3 linked regions of the Nothobranchius furzeri genome follow. The protein of the gene in region 2 interacts with the protein of the main gene of each other region in a biochemical or structural test. Links are inferred from orthologs where the notes say so. Each region holds a gene or a part of one and is shown on either strand. Other genes may lie near its edges.

The links.
Region 1: of the proteins of syk (region 2) and ptpn6, one has a biochemical effect on the other in vitro, tested with the Homo sapiens proteins (2 studies listed by BioGRID). The link is inferred for Nothobranchius furzeri from reciprocal best matches to the Homo sapiens genes SYK and PTPN6.
Region 3: of the proteins of syk (region 2) and flt3, one has a biochemical effect on the other in vitro, tested with the Homo sapiens proteins (2 studies listed by IntAct, with this or other methods). The link is inferred for Nothobranchius furzeri from reciprocal best matches to the Homo sapiens genes SYK and FLT3.

Annotation. Positions count from the first base shown.
Region 1 is NC_091745.1:73,981,258-73,985,410, forward strand, and holds the start of ptpn6 (tyrosine-protein phosphatase non-receptor type 6), read right to left. Parts: upstream 2,857-4,153; 5' UTR 2,720-2,856; intron 2,581-2,719; exon of another isoform or gene 2,476-2,580; 5' UTR 2,412-2,475; coding exon 2,404-2,411; intron 1,354-2,403; coding exon 1,231-1,353; intron 1-1,230. UniProt on the Homo sapiens protein: Tyrosine phosphatase enzyme that plays important roles in controlling immune signaling pathways and fundamental physiological processes such as hematopoiesis.
Region 2 is NC_091746.1:36,390,304-36,393,487, reverse strand, and holds the end of syk (tyrosine-protein kinase SYK), read left to right. Parts: intron 1-1,551; coding exon 1,552-1,741; intron 1,742-2,054; coding exon 2,055-2,483; 3' UTR 2,484-2,602; downstream 2,603-3,184. UniProt on the Homo sapiens protein: Non-receptor tyrosine kinase which mediates signal transduction downstream of a variety of transmembrane receptors including classical immunoreceptors like the B-cell receptor (BCR).
Region 3 is NC_091747.1:51,120,863-51,125,128, forward strand, and holds the start of flt3 (receptor-type tyrosine-protein kinase FLT3), read right to left. Parts: upstream 2,825-4,266; 5' UTR 2,760-2,824; coding exon 2,726-2,759; intron 1,460-2,725; coding exon 1,422-1,459; intron 804-1,421; coding exon 737-803; intron 236-736; coding exon 130-235; intron 22-129; coding exon 1-21. Other genes in the region: PAN2-PAN3 deadenylation complex subunit PAN3, read left to right, coding at 3,801-4,119. UniProt on the Homo sapiens protein: Tyrosine-protein kinase that acts as a cell-surface receptor for the cytokine FLT3LG and regulates differentiation, proliferation and survival of hematopoietic progenitor cells and of dendritic cells.

The sequences.
Region 1 (4,153 bases), on a different chromosome or scaffold from region 2:
TTTATTAAAGTTAAGTATCAATTAAGTATCAATAAACAAAGAGTCCCTTTATTAACGTTACTTACTGCAATATTAGGCATCAATATACAAAAGGTCCCTTTATAATGTTACTTTGTGCATTATTAAGCATCAATAAACAGAGTCCCTTTATTAACGTTACTTACTGCAATATTAGGCATCAATAAACAAAGAGTCCCTTTATAACATTACTTTGTGCATTAATAAGCATCAATAAACAAAGGGTATCTTTATTACTGTTACATAGTGCATTATTAATCATCAATAAACAAAGGGTCTCTTTATTAACGTTACATAGTGCATTATCAAGTATCAATATACAAAGGGTCCCTTTATTAACACTAATGTTTTTGTCAACTATTAGTTGTCCTTAAGGTTAGAACAAAGGGTCGGGGATGTCTGTTTAGTAATGCATTACATAATATGGTTATGCAGTTATTACTTTAATTGTTTATTAATACTTAATAATGCACTAAGTGATGTTAATAAAGAGACCCATTTTGTAAATTGTTACAGAATATTTGAAAAACTGAAACATTTTAAACAATCTGCATCTATTCAGCAGTTTCAAAGGATTCCGCTTTTACCAGTTTAATGTTTTGCTGAGATGCACTTTGAGATGCTGAAGCAGAAGAAACCACAAATCAGACTACCAAACACTTAATAAGTGTGTGACCCATTTTTGTCCGGCAAATAAGTTTCCAGTGTTTCTATGTCTGAAAGTGACACAACACAGATTTCTGCGAGCTGACCTCTTTTAAATAAACAGCTATTGAATAAAGCTAAAAAAAAATAAAGGCCGTAGCACGGAGAAAGCATTAAATATCAACCTCTTATAATAAAAGGCTCCGATACTGTATAACATGGTTTACGATCAGGAAAATCTCAAGTGTATCAGTTAGGTCTAAAGAGCAAAGGTTTCAGGATGTTAGATATACAGACACCAGATTTGTCTGTGATCGTTTCTCTCTGTGGCGTTCTTGTTGAGCATTTCACTTTCTGTCCATCAAACGTTAAAAAGAAGCTTAAACATTTATTAAAATCAGACAGAGGCAGCTGACCCATGATTTCAGTTGCTCTCGCTCATCAAAACCCTTCAGATTTGTAATAATCGTGCCATTTCTAGCCTGCAGATAAATTTGGGAAGAATATAAAGTCCTCCAGTTTTCTCCAATAAAATAGGAGCTTCTATAGAAGTCTTTGGGTTGTTACCTGACCGACAGGGAGAAATCACCAACATTTTTCTTGCTGGGTCGAGCCAAAAAGCTGCCAGGGATGCCCCGAGACTTCAGGACCTCCTCGGCTTCCAGACCAGTGATGTCTCTGTGGAACCACCTGCGCCAGGACCAAGAAAACACAAATAATTCAGGTTAGAAATGAAATTAGCGCTGCAGGATTAGATCACTCGTTAGGATGAATGGGAGAATTGTGTTTAGTAAGTTGAAAGAGCTGGATTACTGCATTTCCGTTTTAGATGTTTTGAGATGCTGTTAGACCCAAAAATCTTAATTTTTTTCTGACTAAAGCTCAGTTTGACTCAGTTATTTATGAATTTGTCAGGAAATAAATATTCTGATGTTTTCTATAATTATATCCTTCATTTATCTCTCAGCAGCTAAGATAATGAGATCAGACTGCATTTTAATGCTAAATATAGCCCTGAGATATGAAAAAGGTCAATAATAAAGCTCTAATATAGCAATATAATAATAATAATAATAAAGCAGCGGATCGTCCTCACCTGTGTAATCTAACAATTTTCATGCACATTAAATTAACATATTTAAAGTAAAATGTCTTAATTGTTGTTTAAAAGCTACCAGTTCCAAAAAAATAAACCAGAATTTAAATTACTTTATATTATTTCTTCTTACCTGCAAATATGTCGAAGGATTTAATCTGAATTTTATAGATTATTGACTTCTAAATGTTTAAAAACGACTTATTCTTAAGTTTCATGACACACGTGTGGTTGCGTTTTAAAGAAATAACGAAAAGTAGCTTTCAAAATGAAAACATGCATTTTAATTTGCTTCTAGGTTATGATTTAGTTGTGAAATTCAGCAAAAGCAGCAAAGTCGTGACGTCTGGAAGCTAAATTAGCGCTGGGTTAAAGAGCTAGAAGGTTGAAGATGCACCAATAGGTAAAGTGAATTAAATGTTTTACTTCTGTCACTTTTTTTAAACAAAGCGTGCAGCACATTAGGGGTCATATGACAGAAGAACAGAGCAGGATGAGCGAACGGCTGGCGAAAGATAGAGAAGGAGGAATGGAAACAGAGAAGTTGTCATAATGTTTTGCAAAAAGCACAAAAAAATGTAAAAAAAAACACAAGCAGAGTTGACTAACGCAGCGTTGTGGTGTTCGGCAGAGGCTTGACTCACCGAACCATGTCGTCTCCCGACGTTTTCTGGGACAAAAGAGATGAAGAGCTATCGATGAAGAGCCACTTAAACCTGCGCCACACGTGCCGATTCAAAAGCACAAGTTCGAGGATATTTTCTCTTGTTAGTTGATTGTTAATCTCATGGAAGACAAAACGCTTTGTTGTTGCACTACTTCCTCACTTTGTGCTGACTTCAAATGAATCATGTGTTTGTTCGTTCGCACACTAACCAGACACCATCCCGTCAAAATCATCCGCCCTCAGCTCTCCTCCTCTATCTGACAGCTCAAGTACAAAAACAGGCAAACACTTACTCCTCTCAGCTGCTCCAGTCAACAACTGTCACTCAGGAAGACGCTCACACTGTAGTCGTCTGCGTCTTACCCCCTGCGTTGTTCTCTCTTTCTCTCTGTCACTCCCCTTCCTTCCTTTTTACGTGTCCTTTCACAAAATAGTGAAAGCAAACACAAGAACAAAAATAGCCAACAGGCCGGAATTCCTCAAGTAGATGGAGAAGATGCCGTTTTTCTTCTTCTAATAACGACCACAACAAAAAGTTGTGTGCGAGAGCAGAGAAGGTTTCAGCTCCATCACTCTAAGTTTCCTGTGTCGGATCTCTGCAGCAGAAGCAGCAGCAGCAGATGTAGGTCTGGTGACTCTGCTCAGCGAGCAGCCATCCCATCACGGTCAGAGTCCAAAACAGAGAGTTTAAGTTCCTGGAGACGTCACCAGCGAGAGCACGCTTGGTCTAACAAAAATCACAGGCAAACGTTGTCTCCTCAGCCAGCCCACCTGTCTGCTGTCAGTGCTGTTTGTTCTTTACTTCCAGGTGTGTACCGGTGTGTGCATGTAACACACAAAGGTCAGAGTCACAGAACACTTCCTTATTTGAAGTTTGACCTTCCCCCCCTCGTGTGTGTGTGTGTGTGTGTGTGTGTGTGTGTGTGTGTGTGTTGCTTTTCATCTAATTAACCACTGCAACAGCAAACATAGATGGCATTTAAAGAAGGTTAAACTGGTGATAAATAGTGATCTGTCCATTTAAAGTAAAAGTTCCACAAACACACGTTTATATTTCTATACTTGTGGGGACCTAGCTTTTTAGAGACCGTATGGGGCCTATCCCTAACCATAACCATTACTGGTGTATTCTTAACCTTAACCCTAAATAACACTTAATTCACACAATACCTCTAAAAGCAAGTATGAAGGACTTTTTACACAGTGGGGACCAGCCAAATGTCCCCACGTTACAGGTTAAACGTGACATGTCCCCAAAATGTAGTACAAACAAGGCGCGCACACACACACACACACACACACACACACACACACACACACACACACACACACACACATTTGGTTAAACTGCAAACACAAACTCTTCCATTCCTTTTTTAAGCATGTAAACAAGAATCATTTACGTGATTTCCTGCATTTAACTTGCCAATTATCCCACTTTTTGTTTTGAAATGCTAAAGAAGACAGTTCTAGTGGAAAATATTGGGTTAAACAACGTAAAACGATAAATAAATTGTATGGAGGAGAACACTATTATATATAGCTCTCTGGAGCGCCACACACACACACACACACACACACACACACACAATTGCAGGTGTTGTCGTGGTTAACGCCAGCTATTGCACTCATTATACTCCTGTCAGAATCTCATGTTTTACAGTTAGAGCAGGTTTGACTTCTCTTCCCTTCTGCCTCTGCAGAGCGTTACATAATAGGCAAATGCA
Region 2 (3,184 bases):
GGGAACCCCTTGGGATTCCCCCGGCCGGAGGAGCTGGGGAGAGGTCTGGGACTCTCGACGCTTCTGCCCGCTCTGACGCCAGAAGCTGTCGGAGTGGACTTCTTACTGGACCTGGCCGGGGAACCCCTTGGGATTTACCCGGAGGAGCTGGCTCCGGCGGCTGGGGAGAGGGAAGTCTGGGACTTTCGACGCTACATGCCCCCGCAACTCGACTCCGGATACGCGGATGAAAATGGATGGATGGACAAATAACATAGATTTACATGCAAGTAGTTTAAATAGAGTGCTGTGCTGTTTGAATGTATAAGCTGAGCGCCAAGAGAAATCACTAGTTTGATTTTTTTCCGTGAATAAAATAAATATGTCAGGCAGGAGCATCTCAGGATCTGTCTGAGATCTGTCTCGGTGAGACAGATAATAGCAATCCAAAGTGCTTTTTATGTGTGATCTGACAATTGATCAACCATTGCTTAAAAATTAAATACAGCTTAGCCGGTTAATTGCTGTGATCATAAAACATGTAAACGGCAGCACGCAGAACTCACGAGGCAACGTTTTACGTGACGTTTACTTGTTGCTATGAGTAGTAAGACAGAAAAAGCCACGCCAAAATAAGTTTAGGAAGCCCACTAAGAATCGTAATAAAAGCATTTAAAATAAATACCATACACAGTTGAGGAAACGTTGGTTTAAGTACCTGATATGAAGTGGTCGCTGCATAAGCGAAAACCTTTACTCTCGGGATCCCACAGCTTCATTTTAGCCCGGTCACTAGTGCGTTTTATTACAATGATCCAACGTTTGCGGCGCTCCGGATCTTGGGGAATCCTGTAGATGGCTCATTCCTTATGTCGTCCGTGTCTGTTCTGCATCCTGGGGCACAACAGGAATCTACCATATTTCCCGTTTGATTGAGTTCTCTCTGACAATCACAAATAGTCCAGCTGCCGGCTTCTGCCTGCCAAATGGCGCCGTTTCGATTTGAACTGTTGCATGCCGGGAAACGTGACGTCAGCTCTATAGTCAGTCAGAAAAATTCAAGCTAACTGTAGAAAAAGAAGGAGGGGGAAAAATAAAGGATTAATCTTTAGTGTATTGGAGATAAATACCTGATGTGTTCAACCATACGCTACATCAGACTATTGTTTTAGCCTGTTGTATGATTAGCAAGGATTACAGATCGTGGATTCCTGACGGTTTTAGATGTTTCTCTGCTTGAATACTGCAGGTTTTCTTAAAACAGCTAGTATACAACCTGATGAAGGCTGAAGAGATAATTCAGCAGTTAGAATCAGGTGTGTCTGAGCAGCAATTCGTCAAAAACATTCGTTGTCCGTTAGCACTTCAAGGCTAATTGTGCGCGCAGTTTGAGCCCCTTGTAGCTGAAAGCCACGGCCCATACAGCAAAAGGGAGGGGAGCAGAGGTGGGAGCTGTAGTCGTTCAAATCTCCTCCTCATCATGCTACAGACCCCGGCTTTAACAATAACAAATATTATAGATACTGTAACATCATGAGGTACTGTTCACATTCAGGTTTACTATATCTGCAGACACACATCTGTAAAGAACATCACAGAGCTGGTCCATCAGGTTTCCATGGGGATGAAGTACCTGGAGGAGCATAACTTTGTGCACAGAGACCTTGCTGCTAGGAATGTCCTGCTGGTCACGCAACATTATGCAAAGATCAGTGACTTTGGACTCTCTAAAGCTGTGGCAGAGGAGCAAAACTACTACAAGGTAATTCAATCAGCTATCAGTCAGAACTCTGGAGCAGCTGATTTGATCGCCTAAGATTTCAAAATCGATCCCAAAATTACTAGATGGATGAATAAATAAATTGCAAGCCTGAGTATGATCAGTATAATACCCAGACCAGAAGCAGAACTCAGCTCTGCTCCAGTGTGAAGGACAGAAAGAGAATAAAACATCTGGCTTACAGACAGGTTATTTGAATCCCTTCTGGCTTTTGCAGTCATTTAGTATAAAATTATAAAATTACCTAAATGGTCATTCAGTTAGTGATGATGATGATGTGTGCCTCGTCCTTCAGGCTAAGACTCACGGGAAATGGCCAGTGAAATGGTACGCTCCAGAATGTATAAACTTCTTCAAATTTTCTACCAAAAGTGACGTGTGGAGCTTCGGAGTCCTCATGTGGGAGGCCTTTTCCTTTGGCCAAAAACCATACAAGGTACCACTAATCAGCCTGGACACACACACGCACGCACACATGCACACACACACACAAACACACACACACACACACACACACACACACACAAAATGCTCTGAAACTACAGTAATCAATCTCCTCCACGTACACCAGCAGAACATAACCTTGTTGAGGGTCATTAGGGTCAGGTTGGCTCTGATGATGGACCTCTTAGCTTTCTTTCACAGTGTGGAATCAGTGTTTATAACATTTATTACAGGTATGTTTAAACAGCACACAGACAGTACTGAGTGGAAGAATGCTTAATACCTGGGATATTCAGTCCTGGTCCTCCAGGGCCATTACTGCTTGTTTTCCATAGTTTTGCTGCTCTAAAACACTTGGTTTAAATCAGTGGGTGACTAACAGGATTCTGACAAACTTGAGGACCTGATGAAGAAGTGACTGAATCTTTGAATCAGGTGTTGGAACAGCTCAAACATCCAGTGGCCTATCAGGGCTGAGGACACGTGATATAACTGCTCTAAAGATTCCCTTTCAGTCGATTCACTCGGTACAATGAAGGTACTATGGGACATCACGCCCTCGTGTGGCCTGGCTGAAGACACATTTAATCACGCCTGTAAAGGCAAATGAGCCTTTACTGGGTGGTGGTCCCGCCCTCCACCTACAAGCCCCCAGTGTCACTGGCATTTTTCAGTTCTTATGCTCTTCACCTCGCTGATAACATGTGAGTACAAATAACTATTGTTAGCTATGCAATAGAAAAGTTAGCTTGACTGCTTGCTGGTGTTGATTCTGCTGCCTTCTGGTCAGCCTTCACCCACCTAGCGCTACCTTTTTGTGGCTGTTTTAGCTTTCTGCCTCCATGCTCCTTTGCCCCTGCCGCTCTGCTCTGTGTCTCGCCATAAGCACCGTGTTGGACTCAGCTAGGCGAAAGTCTGCTTTGAGTCCCTGTCCTCTGGGCTGTGGGTTTTTTCTCCATGAGAAACACCTGCACGAGGCCT
Region 3 (4,266 bases), on a different chromosome or scaffold from region 2:
TTCTCCTTATCCCCAGTCAACCTAAAACAGAACATTATTGATTTGTCTCAGTTTCAGGTCGTTTTGATGAAGTGATTTTGCTAACCAAGTAAACATGAGTGTGTAATGCTTCAGTGGAGGATATCTTACTTAAACCATTCAGTCTTGGTCCCTGGAGAGCCGACGCACGAGATAAAAGGAGAACTGGTTTCTCTAGAGAAAGACTTCAGTAACAGTCGTGGCTTTGTGGGACGTTCTAGAAACAAAAAGAAAAATAATGTTTTTGCCTGTTAGCTAAATACTATCATTGGTCAACATGATTCAGTAAAAGCAATTGTTTTAAATCAGAGAATTTTATTAAAGATCAAGTTCAATTGTTTTTTGACACGTTAGCCATGTTCTCTAGAATAAACCAATGCCTTGTGAGTCGATCTCTGTGGGCAAAAAAGCTCTTGTAGTAAAAGAAGAGAGGTGAGCAGAAAACAACTGGATTTATAAATAAATAAATAAATAAATCTTATGTCTTATTTTCTTATACTTGGGACATCTGGCCTCTGATTGGTTAACAGCAGCATGATTCTACTACTGACTCGGTTTGCTTTGCATCGTTGATGTTTTATCTCCACAAATATCACAAGCCTGGAGGAGTTCTGCCATGTGATGGAATTGCTAATGCTAATGGTTAGCTTCTGCTAGCTGAGACATGCTCTGCTTTCTCCTGAATGCTAAATCAACAGGAGGACCATGAGTTTCTTACCAACAGACAGCCTGATGCTGACAGGACTGGATGCATTCAGAGAAGCAGCTGGGACGATGTGGTCCACCTGAGAGGAACAACATCCCACTCTGAGTGGCGTTAGAGGGTAAAACTGTATTTATGTGTTTGACAAACTCATGCAGAGAGTTTTTATCTGGACTTACAGACACAAAGAATTTGGTCTTGGGTGGTATTTTTTTAATAAAGGTGCAGAAAAGGGATGACTCTTCTATGTTGAAGTGAGTTTTTGTGGAAAGGTTATGAACAATCATTACCATTAAATGGCCTCAGTTTGGAGAAATAAAGATGAATTTGGATTTGGATTGATGAGCTAACTGCTAGTCTGAGTAGGGCCAAAATCAAAAGGATGAATGTGGATGCTATTAGCTTTTTAAACAGTTTTCTTTTTACAAAGGAACTGATCTGTTTTAATGTCAATACTTAACAAAGTGACAACTTAAGAAACATACAAATTTTAGTTGAGCTGGTCCTGTTTCCTTATCCATGCCTCACTCTGCTCTGTGGTTTGCCTGTTATGGTTTATAGTAATTTCAAAAAACCACATTTGTTGCGCAAAACCAACTTCATGAACGTGTGATGGCAGCTGAAATGTAGTTCAGAACTTTAGCATTTCTCAGTCAAAAATAAAGTCTTTCAGACTAACACATTTTAAATTTGCTCTTACCTTAGAGCAGAACGCTTTAGTAGCACACAGCAGAACAGCTTGAAAAATAGAAAATATGCACTTTGATTTAAACTTTAAACATATTTTAATCTAAAAAAAAATGGAAGAAAGATACATTTTACACCAGGGCTCGCTCGACTAATATCATTATTCTTTTTTTTCCCAAACAGATACTAATGATGACAGATTTTTCAGACTAAAGTTACAAATCATATTTAGATGGTTTACTTTTTATAATGACATTTTCTGTAAATAAATTCTTATATTATTGCTCTTCATTCTATATATTCATAACAAATAAATGCAATCATGAAATTAACCATTAACCAGGATTCTCTAGTTTATCTTAATATATAATAAAGATTAAATTGGAATACATTCATGTGTGACTTTTTCATAAAAACAAAATCAATGAAGTTACAAATAAAATCAGATCTCAACATTTAAATATGAAACTTTTACTGTGTCACACATTATATGACTTATTTGCTTGTCATACATTTCAGACGCTTTTAGCATTTTATGATTTTTCCTGTCAGTTTAAGGCAATACTACCAGTGGTACAAAACACCACACAATTATTTTATTTCGTGTATATATATATATATATATATATATATATATATATATATATATATATATATATATATATATATATATATATATACTGAATTAAAATAAAACAAAAATAGACATTTAATCAAAATGTTAAGCATTATTACGTATTATTATTTTTGTGTTTACTGTGATTTTACATTACATTAATCCTCCTGGTGCTGAAGATTTTTTTTATTTCCTCAGTGTGGGTTCCTACTTTGCTTTCTAGGCAAGAAAAATGGTCACTTAGGATATTTAGAAATTAATTTAAATGTAAGAACAGGTCAAAAGTGTCAGGAATTTACTTTTTTACATTGTTATACAGGATGTTTTTAAGATTAAAAAAAGATTAGTAAATTTTTAATTAATATCCTGCAATGGTTGAAAATATGAATCAGATTTATCTTTAATAATGACATTGTTTTAATCAAATTACCTAATCTGGATTAGATGTTATGGTAATTCCTCACATTTAAACATTACATTTTTCTTAAATTCAACACAGTAGAATACAACTTTAAATCAGATATCTTACATAGTCTTCACAAAAATCTCATAAATTATTAGAAAAGTGAAGAGCACACATTGAGAATATTTTTTAATGTTCAAAAAGTCTGATTCTACAGTCACAATTTCCAATGATTAACTTTTAAAATGCATTTTCAGCTTTCAACGTCATGAAAAGCTGTGTTTAAACACTCACGTACCTGCAGCTAGTGCACATCTGTTTCCCCGCACCATAATGCTTGCACTCTGTGCCTGGTTTCTCAGCGCAAACAGTGAAACTGCAGCGCACTAAGTGTGCGGGGATCTTTTTAAAGAGAGGAAGTCTTAGAAATAGTCACGCCTATTTGCTCAAAACAACCAAAACATTAGCACCATAGAAATAATTTGAGATGGCAAAATGTATTATTATATGTTGCCATGCGATAAATACAGACATGCAAAAGAAGAGGTATTTTTTTGCAGGAAATAGGAAAATAAATATGTTTGCATAATCGCTATAAGTATATGTATGCTTTTTAAAATTTGTCTCAAAACATGCATATGTGAAACATTGTATTTAGAATAAAACATTTAATTAAAGAAATTGTTTTCCTTTGTTCATGTCCTGAGTGAAACCTCGGTGGTTTCCAAAATTCCCAAAGTTTAGGGCCCGCCACTCGACTGCAGATCCTGCAGTGTTAAATGTGTGGTCTAGAGGGATCAAAACTTAATTAAATTAAAGACTTCGATTGCTAAAATCATATAATTTTTATTATTACACAGCACTAAAACATTATTCATAAATGAATAAAGATTAAATAAAAAATACTAATGTTGCCTTCTGTCTCAGTTTATTTATTAATTTACTCATTTATTTATTAGTGACTTCATCAGAAATACTTGGAGTTGCACTTTAAGTTTAAAATTGGGAAGCAGCGCTCTTGAGTTGAGTTTGCGGCAGGTGAATGATGCTGCACTCCACGCAGCATATCCTTGTTAGCTGCTCTGCTATCGACTCATCAGCCTGGCTGAGAGCAGAAAACAACAACAGGCTCCGCTACAGCGTAGGCAGCTGCATGGACGGTGACAACAACCACCAAGATTTCACACATGCGGGCATATTTTCTTAAACCAAAATGTATTTTAGCTTTATAATACGAGTAATATGGGATGTTAAATGTTATCCGTGAGCTGAAGTGATTTATTTAGAGTAGTAAAGTAGCTGGCTTAGCACTTAGCTCTCCGCGGCTCTATGTTCGAGTGCCTTCCGGCAGCAGTGGCGGCAGCAGTGGTGCCATGAACAGTGGACTCCCACCTTCAGCTGCTCCGCTCGGGGGTGTCGGGATACCCAATGTCAAGGTGAAGTTTTGCCGATACTATGCGAAAGACAAAACCTGCTTCTATGGGGATGAGTGTCAGTTTCTGCACGAAGACCCGTGCATGGGCAGCATGCCGCTGCACGGCGGCGGTAGCCCTGTTCCGCTGGCCACGGCGGGGTACTCCCTCGGCGTCACGGCGGTGACGCCTTGCACTGGCGGTGGAGGGACCGGTGTATCCAAGAAGAACGAAACACTGGGGCCTGCGGGCACGTCCCTAGAGGGGCAGCTATTAACCAGTGAGTACACACGGACAGGGCCCCGGACGAGTTAGCTAACTGACTTTTCTTTGAGGCCTTAAGCAGCGGTCTCGTAATTTAGCCCGAGGACTCGCATGGGCCTCTTTACCGCTAAACAGCGTGGTTTACCGTAACATGCCAGAACCA